Macaca fascicularis: one gene and its partners. The protein of the gene in region 3 interacts with the protein of the main gene of each other region in a pairwise test. Links are inferred from orthologs where the notes say so. Each region holds a gene or a part of one and is shown on either strand. Other genes may lie near its edges.

What was found. The genes of interacting proteins can lie anywhere in the genome.
Region 1: the proteins of MEOX2 (region 3) and CNTNAP2 interact in binary tests that used the Homo sapiens proteins (3 or more experiments, as listed by UniProt). The link is inferred for Macaca fascicularis from reciprocal best matches to the Homo sapiens genes MEOX2 and CNTNAP2.
Region 2: the proteins of MEOX2 (region 3) and CARD9 interact in binary tests that used the Homo sapiens proteins (3 or more experiments, as listed by UniProt). The two-hybrid records come from large-scale screens. The link is inferred for Macaca fascicularis from reciprocal best matches to the Homo sapiens genes MEOX2 and CARD9.
Region 4: the proteins of MEOX2 (region 3) and PCSK5 interact in binary tests that used the Homo sapiens proteins (3 or more experiments, as listed by UniProt). The two-hybrid records come from large-scale screens. The link is inferred for Macaca fascicularis from reciprocal best matches to the Homo sapiens genes MEOX2 and PCSK5.

Annotation. Positions count from the first base shown.
Region 1 is NC_088377.1:190,060,215-190,065,283, forward strand, and holds part of CNTNAP2 (contactin-associated protein-like 2), read left to right. Parts: intron 1-1,118; coding exon 1,119-1,318; 3' UTR 1,319-5,069. UniProt on the Homo sapiens protein: Required for gap junction formation. Required, with CNTNAP1, for radial and longitudinal organization of myelinated axons.
Region 2 is NC_088389.1:3,001,320-3,006,542, forward strand, and holds part of CARD9 (caspase recruitment domain-containing protein 9), read left to right. Parts: coding exon 1-21; intron 22-160; coding exon 161-340; intron 341-424; coding exon 425-568; intron 569-794; coding exon 795-920; intron 921-3,298; coding exon 3,299-3,490; intron 3,491-3,856; coding exon 3,857-3,898; intron 3,899-4,273; coding exon 4,274-4,319; intron 4,320-4,936; coding exon 4,937-5,218; intron 5,219-5,223. UniProt on the Homo sapiens protein: Adapter protein that plays a key role in innate immune response against fungi by forming signaling complexes downstream of C-type lectin receptors.
Region 3 is NC_088377.1:114,576,429-114,581,803, forward strand, and holds the end of MEOX2 (homeobox protein MOX-2), read left to right. Parts: intron 1-2,148; coding exon 2,149-2,373; 3' UTR 2,374-3,547; downstream 3,548-5,375. UniProt on the Homo sapiens protein: Mesodermal transcription factor that plays a key role in somitogenesis and somitogenesis and limb muscle differentiation. Required during limb development for normal appendicular muscle formation and for the normal regulation of myogenic genes.
Region 4 is NC_088389.1:107,034,569-107,039,943, forward strand, and holds part of PCSK5 (proprotein convertase subtilisin/kexin type 5), read left to right. Parts: intron 1-4,028; coding exon 4,029-4,246; intron 4,247-5,375. UniProt on the Homo sapiens protein: Serine endoprotease that processes various proproteins by cleavage at paired basic amino acids, recognizing the RXXX[KR]R consensus motif. Likely functions in the constitutive and regulated secretory pathways.

The sequences.
Region 1 (5,069 bases), about 75 Mb from region 3:
GTATAAGAGACCGGGTTTCACCATGTTGGCCAGGCTGGTCTTGAACTCCTGACCTCAAGTAATCCACCCGCCTCAGCCTCCCAAAGTGCTGGGATTACAGGCGTGAGCCACCACACCTGGCCTGATCCAGTATTTTTTTCATTTCAGACACTGTATGTTTCACCTCTACAAGTTCCACTATTTCATTTTTTCCTCTCATTTTGATCATATTTTCCTTTAAACCCCTGTGCACATTTCTAATAGTTATTGTACTATCCTTGTCTGCTCATTCCATGCTCTTGTCATTTCTGAATCTCCTTCTAATTGACTGATGTTTCTTCTGGTCAAGTGACATTTTCCTACATTTTTTTTCTCTGAATTATTTTTCTCTGCAGCTTGAAGTTATTTAGATGTGCTTTAAAGCTTTTTCAGGACAGATCTAGGGTAGTCTTTATTCTAGGCCTATTTTAGCAAACATCTTCAGCATGACCATTCTATAACTGTATTAAATGCTCTGATTATTCAATGAGGTCTCTTCAGTGTGGTTGGTTGGAACATAAACGTCTCCCAGCCCTCTGAGCCCTCTGGTTTTTGCCTGGCCTATGACTTTCATTCTGTACATGCACACGTTAGTGTCATTCTGACACAAATTCAGAGACACTTCCGTGCAGATTATTAGGGTTCTTTCTATACACAGCTCTCGCACGCGCTCTATCTCCCCTCTCCATTCAGGGAAACCACTGTGCTTTCTTGTGCTGCCCCTCCCTACATTGCTGTCCAAAAATTGCTGGCAGCCAGAAAACGAGGAAAATTGTAGGACTCCTCCTTTTTGTTTCTCTGTTCTCAGACATCATGGTTCCATTCTGCCCGTTTTCTAATGTCTGAAGACTGTCATTTCATTGATTGTGTCCAGTATTTCAGTTACTTTTGGCTGGAAGGGAAGTTACTCCTGATTTTCCTGTTACTCCTTCATGGACAAAAACAGAAATCTTACTTCATTTTTGTTATCTTTGTTGTTTTGGAGTTTGTGTTTTATATGGGAGAGGGCTGTGTCTGAGGGAGCTGTAGTGAAGTGGGGACAGTGTTGGAGGGACACCCAAGCCCTGTCTAACCTCTCGTGCTTCTCCTTTCTCCGCCAGGCGTCATTGCTGTGGTGATTTTCACTATCCTCTGCACCCTGGTCTTCCTGATCCGGTACATGTTCCGCCACAAGGGCACCTACCATACCAATGAAGCCAAGGGGGCGGAGTCGGCAGAGAGCGCAGACGCCGCCATCATGAACAACGACCCCAATTTCACAGAGACCATTGATGAAAGCAAAAAGGAATGGCTCATTTGAGGGGTGGTTACTTGGCTATGGGATAGGGAGGAGGGAATTACTAGGAAGGAGAGAAAGGGACAAAAGCACCCTGCTTCATACTCTTGAGCACATCCTTAAAATATCAGCACAAGTTGGGGGAGGCAAGCAATGGAATATTCTTGAGACTGATGACAAAAAAAAAAAAAAAAATTTAATATTTCTTTATAGCTGAGTTTTCCCTTCTGTATCAAAACAAAATAATACAAAAAAATGCTTTTAGAGTTTAAGCAATGGTTGAAGTTTGTAGGTAATATCTGTCTTATTTTGTGTGTGTTTAGAGGTGTTCTAAAGACCCGTGGTAACAGGGCAAGTTTTCTACATTTTTAAGAGCCCTTAGAACATGGGTATTTTTTCTTGAGAAAAGCTGATGCACCTACATATGGCCCCCAACATTCTCTTCCTTTTGCTTCTAGTCAACCTTAATGGGCTGTTGTAGTAACTAGTTCGTGTTCATATACTATTTCCTTTGATGTCCTATAAGTTGGAAAAGAAAGGGGCAAAGAGAACCTATTATTTGCCAGTTTTCAAGCAGAGTTCAATCTATGCCAGCTCTCTGGCATCTGGGGTTCCTGACTGGTAACAGCAGTTGAAGCAAGAGAGTGCATGGCACCTGGTGTGTAACGACACAATCAGCACAACTGGAGAGAGGCATTAAAGAACCAGAGAAGGCAGTTTATATTGGGGTTGTTGGTTTTTCATTGAATTCTACAAGCTAATATTGTTCTAATATGTAGTCTTAGACCAATTCAATATCTGTAACTATCAGCTGCAATACCATGGTGACCAGCTGTTACAAAAGATTTTTTCCTGTTTTATCTGAAACATACTGGATTTATATATGTATAAGCGCCTCAATGGGGTATTAGAGCCAGATGTTATGATTTGTTTGCACTTTTTCTTTTAAAGTTGTAGCGAACGTATGGATAATTTCTAGTGAATGCATAAATTAGGTTGCGCTTCTTATTTTGCTTTAAGTCTCTGGTAGTTTTTCCACCCCTGTGATAAAATCCTAATAGACCGTGTCCTATAAATGGATGCAACACAATAAAGTTATTACGGCTGTTACTCTGGATGATATGGAAAACACTGCCATATTTTAAATCAACTACTCCACGTGTTTTTCCATGCAATCACACTGCTGTGATTCAGGGATCTTCTGAGATGGACACATTTGAACCTCAAGTTCCTCACAAACCTGGTACCTGTTGCTTCTCAGACGATGGACAAGTGTAGTTAGTCACACCTCTTAGTTTAATCTGAAACCTTGACCCAGTTGTGTAACAAATAACTCATTGATTATATTTAAAAATAATACACTTCATGTAAACAAATGGGGACAATGCATCCAAAAATAATCTTATTTTTTAAACAGATTATACAAAAATTATTTCTAGAAAGACTACCATTTGTGATCATTATATTTCAAGCCTCTTATACTTAATAAGCACTTTTTTAAAAATCTTGAGATCCCACCATTCTGAGGAATTAAATATCACTTTTTCCTTCTTTGCCTGGGAGAGGTTAAGAGGAGGTTTCAGAGGTATAGATGCTATTGTTCTGATGGCCCGGCTCAATAAAATGGAAATTCTAGTTGGTTAGAATAATGCATTTTTTTTTTTCAAGATTCTCAGTATGCCTAACTTATTGGGGCATGTCAGTTTCTTGGGTAATGGAAAACATTACCTAGAGTTGCTAGTGGCACATTACACCAGTACACAGCACATTCCAAAAGACACATTGGACCAGTTAATTCCCATGCAAGTCAAGGTAACAGAACAAAAGGGAATCCTGATGCCCTTTTACCATTGCTGGTTGAGCTCAGGCACTGTCATGGACACCCTTAATTTTAAAAGGTTTTAATCATTCTTCTATAAAATACATTTAAAGTGGAAAAACATTTAATATCACTAAATATCAGAACAATGTAACATTTACAAATGAAATATTGAAAGCAAAGGCTGTTTTATTTAGCCAAGATGACTACCATTAGGAGTTACTGTATGTATTGTTGAACGCAAATTTTAAACATAACATTTTAAAAGTGTTTCTGATTTTTAAACCTGGTTTACAGGTATTACTCCTGTACTTACCAAATAACGCCCGATGGAAATTTATTATTTCTTGCAATTCCCACGATAGCTCTGTTCATTATGCATTGTCAACACTTTTCCTTTTTTCCCCAAAATGAGTAGGGGATTAAAGTCACCCAAAACAGCTTCTGCTACTAAAATGTTCTCATCCTTTCTCCTCCCGCAAAAGGTGAAAAATGAGATCCAATCCTCTCACCAAAATTTCAAACCTAGGACACTGGAATGACTGCAGGGATCAGTGGTTCTCCCATATCACCATCAATTAAGACATATAGGATACTCTCTCTCTCTCTCTTCAAGAGGGTTACAATATGGCCATCAGACAGGAAACCAAAAGGTGGATAAAGTATTAAGTAATTAAGTGCCAAATAAATGCTGGAAATCTTGACCTCTTCTTGGGATTATGAGTTTAACAAAAATCCCTACATCTGCTTATGAAGGCCATATCCAGTACATTTTAAGTGGTAAATAATATATTTATGTGAAGAAAAGGAATTAACTCTTTCTTCCAACTCTCTCCCTGGACAGCCTAACACAGTGCAGCCTCGATAACCATGACATTCCCACCCAAGCTCTCAGTGCCTAATCCTGCTTTGTCATTCACTTCTCACACAATCTTGACATCTTATATTCCAATACATTATCAAGCAAGCACAAGTATATTGGTAGTAGCCTCTTTAAATAATATGTATAGACAACAACAACAACAAAATAGGCTGTTCTAAAGTTTCAGGGAAAGTTAATGGCGGATTTAAGGTTGTGCAGGAAACATCTGTGTATGAAGCAAATATCGATGTTTTGGAAAGATAGGAGATGACTTTGAATGAATGCAAGGTTAGTGCGACTCTAAGCTCTCAAAATAGCAGACTCCCTAGAGTTCAAGAAAGCTGGTCCAGGAGGTTGAAAAAGTTGTTTTATTGTTAAATTATTTTCTGGCCCTTCTTAATATTTAAAAATATATTTCCCCTTGTGGCTTTCAACCAACTGCTCAAAGAGACTTGTTATGTGGAAGTTTTCATTAAAGAGCTGAAAACAAGAATTTAGACAGCCTTTACTAGAAAATGTCCTACTGCCCTGCATTTGACAAACAAGCATCCTTTACTAACAAGAACAGGAATTCAGAGGCACAAGAAAAAGCAATGGCATGAGCCAAAGAGTCTATCTTAATATTACTTTTGAACATCTGCTGAGCAGCCACCATATATGCAGGCTGAGAGCTGGGCACAGACAGAAGCCACTGGAAGCACTTCAGGAACAAGCACACAGCTATGGGACTTGAACATGCAAGTGTTCAGGTCGCGTCAAGAAGCTTTTCTTTCCTTCTATGATGCAATCTGTTCTTTTCGATCCTACTTTTTTCTCTCTTCCTCTCCTTGCCACACTATATCCTGCTCTTACGCAGCAAACTTTTTAATGGCCCCTTTATGTTTCATGCCTCCAAACAACACTGAATTTGAAACCCCCCCTTTTGGCCGGGCGCGGTGGCTCACGCCTGTAATCCCAGCTCTCAGGGAGGCAGAGGCGGGAGGATAGCTTGAGCCCAGGAGTTCGAGACCTGCCTGGGTAATACAGCGAGACCCCGTTCTCCACAAAAAGGAAAAAAAAAAAGAAACCCCCCCTTTTCTTTTCACCACTCTGTT
Region 2 (5,223 bases), on a different chromosome or scaffold from region 3:
AACCGTGACCTGCAGCTGGAGGTGCGCCCACTGCCCCCGGGGAACCAGGCCCCCCTTGCCTGGCCTGGTGGGGTCTGCAGGCTGGGGCGGTCGGGGGTGGCCCCGTGGGTCCGTTGTCACCACCTGGAGGGGACAGCCGGGCTCACCGGACCTTCCGCAGATTGACCGGCTCAAGCACAGCCTCATGAAGGCCGAGGACGACTGCAAGGTGGAGCGCAAGCACACGCTGAAGCTGAGGCACGCCATGGAGCAGAGGCCCAGCCAGGAGCTGCTGTGGGAGCTGCAGCAGCAGAAGGCCCTGCTCCAGGCCCGGGTGCAGGAGCTGGAGGCCTCCGTCCAGGTGGGGCCGCAGGCAGGGCGGGTGCAGCCCGGGCAGGACAGCCGGGGCCTTCCCAGCCAGGCCATTGCCTTTTGCCCCCTTCAGGAGGGGAAGCTGGACAGGAGCAGCCCCTACATCCAGGTACTGGAAGAGGACTGGCGGCAGGCACTGCGGGACCACCAGGAGCAGGCCAACACCATCTTCTCCCTGCGCAAGGACCTCCGCCAGGGCGAGGCCCGACGCCTCCGGGTAGGAGGGCAGGCAGGGCGACGCAGCTCCTGGGGGCCAAGCCACGCTGGGTGGGCTGAGCTCCGCCCACTCCGTGCCTGGAAGGTGGGGCCTGGGGACTCCTATGGCCTCCCCCCACATCCCAACTGGCCTGACCACATGCTCCTGAGCCCCTTCCCCGAGTACACCCCAAGGGCCAGAATGGGGGGCCTCAGGCCTGTGGGGGCTGAGCTGCTGCCCCTTGCAGTGCATGGAGGAGAAGGAGATGTTTGAGCTGCAGTGCCTGGCCCTGCGTAAAGACTCCAAGATGTACAAGGACCGCATTGAGGCCATCCTGCTGCAGATGGAGGAGGTTGCCATTGAACGGGACCAGGTGGGCACCTCACGGGGCGGGCAAAGCACCCCACTCACAGGTGGGTGCACAGGGCCACACCCCTTGAGGGCAGTTGTCACGGAGTTTTTAATCTTTGTTATTTGTTTTTGAGATGGGGTCTTGCTATGTCACCCAGGGTGGCCTCAAACTACTGGCCTCAAGCAGTCCTCCGGCCCCAGCCTCCCAGAGCGCTGGAGTTGCAGGCTGAGCTGCCACACCTGGCCTGCTTTTTAAATGACAGAAGTAATATTTAACATTAAAAAAAAGTAAACAGTGATGAAGTCAATACTTCCCTACCCCAGCCTGCTCTCAGGGAAAACTGTGTTCAACCTTCCGGCTCCACCTTACAGACTTTTACCTGTCATCCATCTATCCATCCATCCATCCATCTATCATCTATCTATTTATCTATCAATCATCTATCATCTATCTATCAATCTATCATCCATCTATCTATCAATCATCTATCAATCATCTATCATCCATCCATCTATCTATCATCTATCTATCTATTATCTATCACCTATCTATCTATATATCTTTTTGATTTTATGAAAACATTCTGTCTTGTTTTACCAGTAGCTTTTTTTTTTTTTTTTTTTTTTGAGACGGAGTCTCGCTCTGTCACCCAGACTGGAGTGCAGTGGCCGGATCTCAGCTCACTGCAAGCTCTGCCTCCCGGGTTCCCGCCATTCTCCTGCCTCAGCCTCCCGAGTAGCTGGGACTACTTTTGCTGGGACTACAGGCGCCCGCCACCTCGCCCGGCTAGTTTTTTGTATTTTTTAGTAGAGACAGGATTTCACCGGGTTAGCCAGGATGGTCTCAATCTCCTGACCTCGTGATCCACCCGTCTCGGCCTCCCAAAGTGCTGGGATTACAGGCTTGAGCCACCGCGCCCGGCACCAGTAGCTTTTTTTAATCTTGAAAAAAAACTTGGCTGGACGCAGTGGCTCTTGCCTGTAATCCCAGCACTTTGGGAGGCTGAGGCGGGCAGATCACTTGAGCCCAGGAGTTCCAGAGCAGCCTGGGCAACATGGTGAGATCCCAACTCCATAAAAAATACAAAAATTGGCCGGGCATGGTGGCTCATGCCTGTAATCCCAGCACTCTAGAAGGGCGAGGCAGGTGGAACACTTGAGGTCACGAGATCAAGACCAGCCTGGCCAGTATGGTGAAACCCCGTCTCTACTAAGAATATAAAAATTAGCCGGGTGTAGCGGCGGGCACCTGTAGTCCCAGCTACTCAGGAGGCTGAGGCAGGAGAATCGCTTGAACCCAGGAGGCAGAGGTTGCAGTGAGCTGAGATCACACTACTGCACTCTAGCCTGGGTGACAGAGCAAGACTCCAACTCAAAAAAAAAAAAAAAAAATTGGCGTGGTGGTGCATGCCTGTGGTCCCAGCTATTTAGGAGGCTGAGGCTACAGCAAGTCACCATTGCGCTACTGCACTCCAGCCTGGGCCACCGGAGTGAGGCCTGCAAGGCCTCGAGTGCTACATGCTGTGAGCCGGATAGAGCGTCACGGGGCAGGGCTGTGTCTGCTTCCTATGCCCCGTCCCGAGTCCCATCCTGGAGGTTGTCTCCAATGGACACCACTGCTTCTTCGGCGAAATTCTGGATGGCAGTTTGTCCACATCAGGAGCCTTAAAACGAGACCCCTGGGGCCATAAAGCAAGCCCTGGCCACCATGAGAGCAGCACAGGCTCAGAACTCCTGTGCGGCCCCACCACAGCCTCACTCACGCCTGGCCCACCCCAAGATGGGGAAAAAAGGGCAGATCCAGTCGTGCCCCCATAGGGGTTGGTGTGGCTCCCAGGGCGAGGGCTCCCACGGGGCTGTGCGGGGGCAGGTAGGCCAGGGATTAGGGAAGCTGCCAGCCATTGCTCCAGTCCAGTGGCAGGGGTTAGGTGAGGGCCTCCCAGCCTCGGCTGCAGGGGTGGTCACGCCGTCATGTTTGCACGTTCGCTCCTGTACCTACCTCAGCATCTGCAGTGGGGACAGGGGTGGTGAAGAGTGCTGCGCTCATGAAGGAGTTTTAGCCATGGACAGTCAGGGTCCCCATATCAAGCCACATCCAAAATTTATCAAATGTGCACGTGTGTGTGTGTTGGGGGGGCCGGTGCACAGCACACGCTGTGTCCACCGGGGGTGCAGGCTTCGGAGGAGACAGAAGGGCAGCAGGGACAACTGTCACCTTTACAATCCCTCAGATGCTGACTTCATGTTCACAGAGCACATAAAGGGAGGGGCTGTGGCCAGCCTCCACACCCAGCGGCTTGACGTCCTCCGGGGCCTCTGCTCGGAGCTGGGCAGCCAGGCCGAGGGCCCAGGGCGAGCTTGGGGGCCTCACTGAGGGTCGGCCTTGCACTGTCCCATCAGGCCATCGCCACACGGGAGGAGCTGCACCTGCAGCATGCCCGGGGCCTGCAGGAGAAGGACGCACTGCGCAAGCAGGTGCGGGAGCTGGGTGAGAAGGCAGATGAGCTGCAGCTGCAGGTGTTCCAGCGTGAGGCGCAGCTACTGGCCGTGGAGGGCAGGCTCAGGCGGCAGCAGCTGGAGACGCTCGTGCTGGTGGGCCTGGGGCCTGGGGCAGGGAGGGGAGCCAGCGGGTGGGACGCAGGGCCGGGGGAACATGGGCCTTCCTGACCCAACCCTCCTCTGTGACGGGCCCCCACCTAACCGAACCCCCCCTCGCAGTGGGGTGAGGGCACAGGAGCAGCTCAGGGCCCCAGCAGGAAATGGGGCTGCAGGGCCAGGGTGGGTGCTGGGCCTGGCCATCAGGCAGCCTAGCACGTTGCTCTGGGCATGGAGGGGGCCTGGCGTGGCTAAGGGCATGCCCAGGGCTCCCTGGAGGATCCCGCTCTGTGCCCTGCCCACCCTGTGCCTGGGGAGCCCTCTGCCCCCACAGCCCACCCACCCCGTTTTCTATGACCACAGAGCTCCGACCTGGAGGATGGCTCACCCAGGAGCTCCCAGGAGGTGAGTGAGACCCCAGCCGGCACGAGGCTGGCCTTCCTTCACCTGGGGTTCTGGCTGAGCCGCCACCAGGCACAGCCCCACACTGCCCGTCACGTGGCCCTGCTCAGTGGGCTGGGCTCGGTGGAGGAAGAGCAGGTGGCCAAATACTAAGGCCTCCGACGGCTCAAGGGGTAAGGCAAGGCATGGACAGTGCCCAGCTCCTGCATCCTCATGGCGGGACCTTCCTAGCTGGCCTCCCCCACATCCGTCTGCTGAGCACCTGAGTCTCTGAGAAGCTCTGTGCAGGGGGTGATGGCAACGGCCGGGGTGGGCAGTGTGGCCGGGTCCAGTCCTTGGCGGGGTGACCTAACGGGACATCTTGCCTCTCTTCGGAAGCTCTCGCTCCCCCAGGACCTGGAGGACACCCAGCTCTCGGACAAAGGTAAGGTGGGGACGGCAGTGCACCTGGAGGCCTCCCGGCTGCCCCAAGCGAGGCCCATCTTCAGCACAGGCAGCCCGTGCCGCAATGCCTGTCTCAGCCCCCACAACCCCCACCCCACAGACGGAAACTAGGGCTGGGGATAAGTAAAATGGCCAAGGTCACCCAGAGAACAAACTACAGAGCCCAGTGGAACCCGGGGCCCAGCTGGTGGGACAAGTGTCCCCTGGGGTGGAGAGTGTGGGGCCCCTCTGGGCAGCCCCCCGGGGTGCAGAGGTGAGCAGGCCCACTGTCCTGAGAGTGTGGGGCCCCTCTGGGCAGCCCCCCGGGGTGCAGAGGTGAGCAGAGGGAGGTGGTGATGAGCAAATGCCCAGGGGTACAAAGCTAGAAAGTGGGGCAAGACGGGGCCCCACGTGGCTTGAGGGACAGGGCCGAATGCAGGGGTGGCCAAGGGCCTGCTGTGTCCCGGTGCAGTGGGGGTAAGGCAGTGGTGGGGGCTTCTAGCGGGCAGGGCAGGCCCCCTGTGCCTCTCTGGGGGAAGAACTGGAGTGGCTGGCTGGGAGCAGCCCCCGAGTGCCCAGGAGCGGATAGTGGTGATGAGGTAGGTGTTTGCTCTGAAGGTGGTGTCAGGTGGGAGTCGGGGAGGACCCAGCAGAGGGGCCCTGGGAGGCTGCGTGGGAGTTGGACGAGCTTCCCGAGCACCAGGCTGTGGCCTCCAAGCAGAGGCGGAAGGGGAGGGAGGAGCCGCAGATGGGGAAGTGAAGACCAGCACCTTTGGCCGCAGCCCAGAACACTTGAACTTGGGGACGCCAAGCCCCCATGTAGGCACAGAGGCGAGCAGACCCAGGAGTCCAGCTCAGGCACTGCCACCATCTCCCTGGGTGGCTGTGGCAGGAGTGGGGGCAGG
Region 3 (5,375 bases):
ATGAAAATAGAGAATATTCAAAATATTCCTAATATAGAAGAATGAAACAGAATTATCCCTAGCAGATACAGAGGTTTATTATAAAATTATAATTAATAAGATAATGTGGTTTTGTCACAACTATAGAAAAAATAATATAGGAACAGAACAGAATATAGCAATAAAGCTATGCATATATGGAAGCTTGATTTATGAACACAGATGAAACAGTGATCACTGGAAAAAAGCTGAGTTATTTAATAAATGAACCTGAGGCAATGTGTTATCCATTTAAAATAAAGTAAATTTAAGCCTATTCCTCAGACTATATACTAAAATCAGTACTTCATTGATTAACTACTTCAATTTGAAAGGAAAACTTTTTTTTTTCTTTTTGAGACAGGATCTTGCTCTGTTGCCCAGGCTGGAGTGCAGTGGTACAACCACCACTCACTGCAACCTCAACCTGTTGGGCTCAAGCGATCCTCCCACCTTAGCCTCCTGAGAAGCTGGGACTACAGGCACTGTGCCATCCCATTCCGCTAATTTTATTTTATTATATTTTATTTTATTTGTAGAGACAGGGTCCCATTGTGTTGGACAAGGCAACCTTTAAAACTCTTAGAAGAAGACACAATAGAAAATCTTAGTGGCCTCAGAAAATAGATTTTTTTTAAAAAAGAAAACACAAAAACACTAGTCATAAAAGAAATAGTAGATAAATTTAAACATATTAATATTAAGAGTTTCTAATCATCAAAAGATACTCTAAGAAAAGGAAAAAGAAACAGCATACATTGAGAGAAGATAGATAGTAGCAGCCATATAACTGTGTTCTCCAGGCAAGTTCCCATGATATGCTTATCAGAACACAAATGCAAGAATATCTGTAGCAGCTTACATATAGAAAAAAAAGAATTCAAATATATCCATGGACTTTTCGAAAATCCATGGACTTTTCCATGGAATGGAAAAATAGTGCTATACTGGCAGAATTTAGAATGCTGTACAATGATAAAAAATGAATAAATACAGTCTCTTGAATCAACATAGATATAGCAAAAAGCCTGCACTTAAGAACATTCCATTGATAAACCTAACAAACAAATAAAATTAAAGAGTATATTTTTAATGTTACGTGTTATGAAAAAAATTTGTTTTCTTTTTTAAGAAAGACTTGCAGATGATACACACAATTCAGGCCTGTGGCATTTTAGGTGGGGTAGACAGAGAAATACAATGTAAAAAGAACACTTAGCTTACTAGAAGCTATAATTATGAGAAATGCAATGTGAAAGAAACAGATTTCCTCCTAAACAAGATGCAATAATGTCAATAATATTCTAGTTCTGATAATGGATAAACCTTTAACGTCTGTTTGCTGTTTTTTTGTTTTGTTTTGTTTTTAACACATATGTTATATATATATATATATATATTTAAATGTATTAGGCAACTTCAATGAAGCTTTTAAAAGGAAAATATCTGTACAAAGTTGATGTGAATGATGTAGTATATAATCTTGGTGATTTAACAAATGTTGAGATTTTTTATTGTGACCATATTTTAAACAAATCACTAGATCAAATATTTGCTAAGTAAAATAAATGAATTAAGGTAGAAAATAAGAAGAATAGTTCAAAAGGAGAGAGGCTCAGTGAGAGGTGGAATGGTCAAATAAAGATTTGTGAAAGCAGCAGTGGTTTCTAATGGCAGAGAATGGCCTTTCAGATGCCACTTAATCAGTAGCTCCCAGAACATGTTTTAAATTGGTTCAGGAAATGACAGCTAGATATCAAATCCAAGAAGAACTTAGGAGTGAGGGGGCTTTGACCAACACAATATTATGTTAGCTCCAATTCACAGAAACTCTTTATAGACACAAGTACTTTGAGTAAATGACAAAGTTTTTGTCTAGTTCCATATTTTACACTGTGTGCTGTAAAATACAAATACAGTACTTTGTATGCACCTTTTGAAAGTTTAAAAATTATCATGAACGTACAACCTGATTAAATTCAATGTGGATTTATTTTTCTTTTCACTCCTTCAAGGTGTCTTTGTACAAGCCTTTGAGGAGCTACTTTTCATTGATGACACTAAGGAGAAGAAAATATCATTTTAATCATCTTTTTTCTTCTGTTTGTTTGTTCCCTTTCGTGGTTGAAGGTGAAAGTCTGGTTCCAAAACAGGCGGATGAAGTGGAAGAGGGTAAAGGGCGGACAGCAAGGAGCTGCGGCTCGGGAAAAGGAACTGGTGAATGTGAAAAAGGGAACACTTCTCCCATCAGAGCTATCGGGAATTGGTGCAGCCACCCTCCAGCAAACAGGGGACTCTCTAGCAAATGAAGACAGTCACGATAGTGACCACAGCTCGGAGCATGCGCACTTATGATATACACAGAGGACTAGCTCCATTCTCAGGAAAGAAATGTTGTGATGGCAAGCCTTACCCAAACATCGTTTACACAGAGAGATGACTATGGCAGTGATGTTTAATATTATTAAATCCAGGCATCTCGAATCTGTTTTTCATGATTTATAGAGGGTTTACACAAAGTGCCACTTATTAAAGAGCTTCACAGTGAAGATGGAGAAGGTGAACTTGCTTTGAATATTCCAGATGTGTTTGGTCCTGTGTATGGCAGTGAGCAGGTATGTATTTGCTTTTGCTTGCACTGAAAATTAAATTGCTATCAAGAGCAAACTATGAAACGTTTTTATTCAAGATGCCTCCAAAGTGAAGATGCCGAGGATGAACTTGCATTGAACATTCCAGATGTGTGAGGTCATGTGTATTACAGTGGGCAGGTATTTGCTTTTGCTTGCACTGAAAATTAAATTGCTATCAAGAATAAACCATGAAACATTTTATCCTGAACAGCCACAGTGCCTGAAATCACTCAAGTGGATAAAAAGTGTATTTTAACTCTGTATATATTACCCTTAAGTCATTTTCCTGTCTTCACTAATTGAGCAATGCATTCATATTAGCTGATGAAAATAGGCACTCACAATGACAACCAGAGCCAGCTTCTTGTCTTTTTTATACATTTTGTCATCCCAGAGACAATCAGTATGTGCTTACCTGTGTTCAAGTAGAGAAAAATACAGTAGAGTCTGATAGGACATATTCTTGTACCACAGACAAAACAAATCTTATGTTGCATTTACTATCAACTGCTGCTAATACATTATTATAAAACTTACCTAGCTCCTGAATTCTTCCTATCTTATAGCTTAAAAAAATTAGGATCATAGGCAAATCAGTTACCTTGCAGAAAGAGCTTTGTATGACAGACATTGCCTTATTTTATATCTGTAAAATATTAGCTGTATGAATATGATTTAATTAACAAGGAAACATTTCTTCCTGATTGACAACAGTGTTAGACAAGGTGCAAAGCAAAACTGATTGCTCAAGTTGATAGAAAACAAAATTCTGAATATCTTCAAATTAAATTCGGTAAAAACACATTATTTTTTTCATATGTGATGTATTCATGCAGAACAACAATCTTTGTATTTTGTTTTTAAAATGTGTTTAATAAATGATCCTTTGTAAATAACTTTGGTCTCCCTACTATAATTTCCTTAATTTTTATAGATTTCAATATCAATAATTAACAAAGTCTCAAATCTATCTCACTTGTGCAAATCCAGATGATTATAATTAGTGAATTATTTACGTATTTTCATTTCTGATTTTTTTATTATGGCAGGAAAAAAATCAATCCTTGTGTAATCAAAGGGTGCCTAAGAATGGAGATATATTAAGCTATTTCCCTAATTTGAAGAATACAGTGAATGGATTTTTGGTGTGTGTTTTATGAAGCCACAGATAAAAGTAGGAAAAAAGTATTAAATAATATTATTCAACACAGTGAGGACAATAAAATAGTCATACATTTTTAAAGTTATGTCTGATATATGTAAGTTAATCCAACAGTGGTTTTATAGTCTGAATATGCAGAGTCTCTGATGTGAAATATAAGCTAAACAAGCTAATCAGAGTCCTGAGTCCTAATGGGACTAATGTAAGAAGTAAAGGGTACTATTAATCTAATGTATTTTGCATCATGCCTGATTGTACACGCATAGGGTGCCTGAGTCCTACTTATAACTTTACCACACTGTTTTTCATTTGTTTCATATTCTAAGCGGAAATGCTTGGAAACATTGCCAGCCTTCCTTCCCTGCCACAATCAGAAACAAATACAGAAAAACAATCAGTAAAAATTTCCAAAAACTCATCAGTTAATTGATTTCACTTGCTTTAGAATGATTAGACTGGCAAAAATTAGATTCCATATATTTTAACTTAATCTAGCATGATATGTAGAGAGTATTCCAGAAATAAAGTAAATTTTTTTAGTATCACATTTTCCTTTTGTTGTAATACATTTTATCTCAGTAGTTGACAGTATTTTAAAATAGACCATTCAAATTGAAGTCTCCCAGACATGAAACAGACACTTTTCTATTAGTCATCTGAATTAATACAAAGTCTGTTTGTGCTGATGACATCTACTTGGGTGGACTGATTTTCTTATTGTAGAATAGGATTTAAATTCAAAACATCTCGACAAATTGGTGAAGTGGGAAGATGTAAATCAAATTGAGTTCAATAGGGACAAAGTGGAGGATAATTCATTTGGGCAGGAAAATAATTTCCAGAAATAAGAGAAAAGGACCCCTTAGAAGTAGCTAAAAGGTTGTAGCCAAATAGATGTAAGAATTCCAATTTAGTATGAAAATGAAATAGGAAAAAGGGATTCCAAATAGATATAACATTCAGGAAATAGGAGGCTTTTGTATCATGGCCATATCTTTATTAGAGAATTGTAAGCAATCCTAAAATGAAATTTGATCCGGAGAGCACAAAGTGGTAGGAAAGGCCACATGGCTGACTGAAAAGAGACACCGCTTTCTTTATGATGAATTAAAATGATCTGCCGCATAAGACACCTGACACATTATCACATTGTCAACACAATGACAATTAAACAGGGAAGCCAGAGCAATTTTTATTAGTGGAACTTGCTATTTTTAAAAAAGCGTTTCAGTATCCTCCTGTCTTCAAACTGATGGGTAGGTTAGCTACATTATACCCCAATATAATTTTAGAATTAAAATTCTTTGAGGAAAGTTAAGATATTCTCATGAACTATTTGGGCTTAATTCACTCCAAAGGTGCCAAAAATCTGAAAGAACTCTACTTGTTTTTAATCTACACTGGACTCCTGGCATGCCATGGTATCTTATTACATAATGCCCTTTTCATGTAATTCTATCACAGATCCTGTGGCTCTGTGGAAATTCATAATAGCATGAAAGCACCTTTCTCTGAAAATAGTATGAAATCATGGTTCGGATGATTTTTTTTTTTTCAGTAGG
Region 4 (5,375 bases), on a different chromosome or scaffold from region 3:
CGCCCCCACAATCCAGCCATCTCCCACTGGGTCCCTCCCACAACACGTGGGAATTATGGGAGTACAATTCAAGCTGAGATTTGGACACAGAGCCAAACCGTATCACTGACTTTAAGAGTTTATTCTTATTTTTATATGCCTCTTCCCAAGAAAATCATAAACTCATGGAAGAAAAACACTTCTTATGCCTTACATCTGCTTCTACAACACTCAGCACAGAGCCACACATTAGCAGCTCTTGAAAAACACCAGCCAGGCCGGGCATGGTGGCTCACGCCTATAATCCCAGCACTTTGGGAGGCCAAGGTGGGCAGATCACAAGGTTAGGAGTTCAAGACCAGCCTGGCCAAGAGGGTGAAACCCCATCTCTACTAGAAATACAAAAACTAGCCAGGCATGGTGGCATGTGCCTGTAATCCCAGCTACTTGGGTGGCTGAGGCAGGAGAATTGCTTGAACCCAGGAGGAGGAGGTTGCAGTGAGCCAAGATCATACCACTGCACTCAAGCCTGGGTGACAGAGCAAGACTCTGTCTCAGAAAGAAAAATACCAGCCATATAGATCAAGGAAGAAAGGGCCCTGCCAGATTAAGAACAGAGATGGATGGACAGGCATGGTGGCTCATGCCTGTAATTCCAGCACTTTCCGGGGCTGAGGTGGGCAGATCACTTGAGGCCAGGAGTTCAAGACCAGCCTTGCCAACATGATGAGACCCTGTCTCTACTAACAATACAAAAATTAGCAGGGTGTGTTGGCAGGCGCCTGTGATCCCAGCTACTTGGGAATCTGAGGCATGAGAATTGCTTAAACCTGGAGGCAAAGGTTTCAGTGAGCCAAGATCGTACCACTGCACTCCAGCCTGGGCAAGAGAAGAAGACTCTGTCAAAAAAACAAACAAACAAAAAAAAAACAACCAGGGATGAGGCCACCTGGCTTAGCCCTTCTGCATCACCCTAGTAAGTGTCTGAAAAGATCTGGAGCCCATCTTGCTCAAATCAAGTCAGTGAATACTCTCAAGCACAAAAAGGGTACTTAATCATCCTGTCATCTAGGTAGAATGCAGACCATGGAATTAAGAAGACAGTTGTTTCACCGTGTGTGAACCCAGGGCTGGTGAGGGGAGGCACAGGTTGCCATAGATCCCTTTAATAAAGAAGAAATTGAATATTCATGAGGTATAAGAGGAGAACTCTTCCTTTAGTAAAATCAGTGTTCCACATGCTTGGCATAAGCCTCGTATGTTAAATCTCTGCCTTGGAAAAGTAGATATATACTTCTCTGCACCCTATCCCAACCCACATAATTATTTTGGTGTTTAACTCAGAGAAGTTTCTTTAAAGCCTAGGTTACTGCTTGTGCTTATACTCTTCGAAGCTGGGACACTGATGAGTCCTCAAAGCAAGCAGTGGTGTTGTACTCTTTTAATCTGGTCCAATAAACTCTTTGTTGTCTCTTTTAGCATTCCTCCTTGATAATTTAAAAAACCTACTTAAAATTGATAAGCTTTCTTTCCCACAGTTCCTACTGATGATTTTCATCTTTATAACAATCTACAATAAAAACATTAGGTAAAAAAAACTTTCGTATGCTGCTTAAGAGTTACAAAGTATTTCCACTCACAATGTATCTTTACATTATGATTTGATTCTACAACAATCTCATGAGGTTGCTATTAGTCTCTCCATTTTACAGATGAAGAAACTGAGGCTCAGAGGGGTTAAGTGACTTGCCTAAAGTCATGGAGCTACTAATACATGGCGGAGCCAGGAGTAAAAATTCAATCTTCTGACTCTAATCCTGTGTATTCCCTCTGCTCTGTGTAGATTTCACTTTTCTCTGATGGTTTCTTTTCTTGAGTCTTATGTGGGCTTTGTCAGCCATTCAGCTCATCATCGCTTTGTCTCTCAGATACCTCAGTCTTCCAGATTGACACATAGTAGTCATTGTTCTTCACATAACTGCACAAAGTGAAGCAGGTCTCCAGTTACCACAAGCCGGGCCACTGAGGTTCCAATGTGCTCCCTCAGATCAGTGACGGGTGGCTAAATAGAGCAAGGCTCAGCATAACCTAGGCATGGTGTGAGTTCTCAGCAAGTTCACGGAGCTGAATCAGTCTACAAAAAAAAGCCTATTGGGACCTGTAGTGTTGCACCAGAGGAAACAAAGATGAACCTTGAGGTTTCTAGGATAGGTTTAGTGGTGCTGATGTCTAGAGATACAGAGATGAATCAGATGACCTTTAGAAGCTCATCCTTAGCAAGAATTTTGTTACCCTCTTCTGTCTTGCTTGCAAACCTTTGTTTACCTTCAATTAATGAACTATTTTGTTACAGCGTTTAACAGTTAAGCTCAAATCATATTGTCCCACTTCACTAACTGACTTTAAGCAAGTTGTCTAAATTCTCTCAGCCTCAATGTTTGCTTCTGTAAAATAAGGATAGTAATACCTAAATCATAAGATTCGCTATGAGGATAAATCACACAATTTATAATTATCACTAATGTACATTAATTATTTATAAAGTGCCCATCATGGTCCCCATCCCTTTCTCAGTAATCACATGTTTAATTGTAGGTACTAACATTAGCCCCATCTTATAGATGAGAAACCTGAGGCACAGAGATGTTGAGTGACTGGCCCAAGGTCACACAGCTTGTAAGTGGTATGGCTGGGATTTAAAACTAGTCTTGTTCCCGAGGGCAAGTGGCAACTTCCACACTCTAGGGTCTCATTTGCAGGTTCAACAAGGTGAAATAATGTTTATGAAGTCCCTGGAATACTATCAGGCATATTAGTAGAAGCTTAATGAATAGTGGTTATAGTTACTATATTTAACCTCCAAAAATCTTTTCAAACAAGGTTATATCTGTTATGTAAATGTCAATATCACACTTGTCACCTCCTATTTCAAAATCTGTTTTTTAGTTGACAAATTAGAAGAATAATTCAGAGGTACGTTTATTTTATTTGTTATCTTTTATTTTATTTATGACAGTCTCACTCTGTCACCCAGACTAAAGTGCAGTGGTGTGCTCTCAGCTCACTCTCCTGTGTTCAAACGATTCTCATGCATCAGCCACCCAAGTAGCTGGGACTACACACCACATCTGGCTATTTTTGTTTGTTTGTTTGTATTTGTAGTAGAGATGAGGTTTCACCATGTTGATTGACCAGGCTGGTCTCAAACTCCTAACCTCAAGCCATCCTCTCATCTTGGCCTCCCAAAGTGCTGGGATTACAGGTGTGAGCCACTGTGCCTGGCCAGATGGATCTCTTTTTTTGAGATGGAGTCTCACATTATCGCCTAGGCTGGAGTGCAGTGGCATGATCTCAGCTCACTGCACTCTCCACCGCCCAGGTTCAAATGATTCTCCTGCATCAACCTCCCAAGTAGCGGGGATTACAGGCACATGCTACCACATCTGGATAATTTTTGTATTTTTAGTAGAGACAGGGTTTCACCATGTTGGCCAGGCTGGTCTCAAACTTCTAACCTCAAGTGATCCAACCATGTTGGCCTCCCAAAGTGCTATAATTACAGGTGTGAGCCACTGCACCCAGCCTGGATGGATTTTTTAAATGTACCTCTGAATGGCCAGGCCAACATAGTGAGACACTCATCACTATTTAAAAAAAAAAAAATTTTTTTTTTAATCCTTCCATTCTCTGATGCCAGCCATTAACCACAACGTAAAGCATGAATTTGGAGAGGCACATGGTAGAAAAAGGCAATGGTAGCTAGCAACAATGGAGATGCTACTAGGTGTGATAAGCACTAGGTCTTTTCATATGTGTTAGTTACCCAGTTTAACTTTCACAAATAATGGGGGAGGGATTGGCCCAATTTACAGGTAAGAACACTGGGAATCATTGGATTCATTAGTGTTATTAGCAATGAATCTAATGAGTAAGGTAAAGAGGCTAAAGTCACCCAGCTTGTAAATGAAACCTGACTACCACGTTTTTCCACTGCACCCAATTTAGGAGCAAAGCTTAGTATTCCATCGTTTCTTCTCCCTCGGTTTCAGGTATTACGCAGACAACTCCACCGGCCGGTGTGAGAGGTGCCACAGGATCTGCAAGGGGTGCCGGGGCCCACGGCCCACAGACTGCCTGTCTTGCGAGAGATTTTTCTTTCTGCTCCGCTCCAAAGGAGAGTGTCGTCCCTCCTGCCCAGACCATTACTATGTAGAGCAAAGCACACAGACCTGTGAGAGATGCCATCCGACTTGTGGTCAATGCAAAGGTAAGAGTCTGTCATTTTGCATGTGTGCGTAGAAAAATGAAAAGGTTTTCTTCCTTCTTTGCCCCTTTCTCTCTTCTCACCACCTGGGAGGTTCCTCTTGCTTCCCCACCTCGTGTGTGATCCTCTCCAGCATCAGCGCCCTCTGTTGGCTCTTAACTTCTGCCTCTTCCCTCTAACCTGGGCTGCTCCTGCCCATCCCCCATCCTTCAAGGCCCAGAGACAGGCATCATCTCCTTGAGGAAGCACTGTTCGTCCACTCATCATTTTCCTATTCTACCTGATGAATCTGTCTGGGGGGATTTATTTATTTTCATGACTTGCACTATTCCCTGAGACTTGTGCCTCAAACTCTCCCAAGTTCCATACCTCTTTTACAGAAACTTGGCTGTCTGTCCAAGAGATCCTCAAGGCTCACCATCTACCCACGAGCCCAGGCTGATACTTTGAAGTTCTCCTCGACTCTTCTTCCCTTGTCACCTGCCCAACCCACCCACCTCCAACAAAGCTAAACTTCAAGATCTGTTGATTCTCTTTCCCAAATAGTTATCTAATGAGATCTTTTTCCACCCTCACTACCCTCATCTTCCATTTTTAGTATCTAGTATCACACCTTTTGAAGCAGCCAGCAGGTCACCCCAACTCTGAATCTTGCCCCCACACCAGGTCATCTGGTATACTAATGCCACAGTGAGTGCCCTGAAATTCAAATTTCTCGTTTTTCTCTACACCTTGCCATAAATATGTGATCACCGTGAATGCTTCTCAATATTTAAGAAAGAAATACTTCCATATTTTAATTGTTAAAACTTTCTACAAAAAATATTATTAGCTGGTAGGATACATACCTGTGCTTTTCAAAATTATCTTGGCTGTGCTTAGTTCTTTTATGTAAATACGTAATGAGTCCAGTTTCATTTTTTAAAAATCTTTCATTTTTAAAAAGTATTTTGATACTGAGTGGCGTTGCATTGAATTTATTTTGGAGAAAATCCCACCTTTACAATCCTGAGTTATATTTATGAATGTGGTATATCTCTCCATTCTATGCATTTACTTATTACACTTCAGTAAAGTTTTAATAAGTGTTTTTTGTTTGTTTGTTTGTTTGTTTGTTTTTTGAGATGGAGTA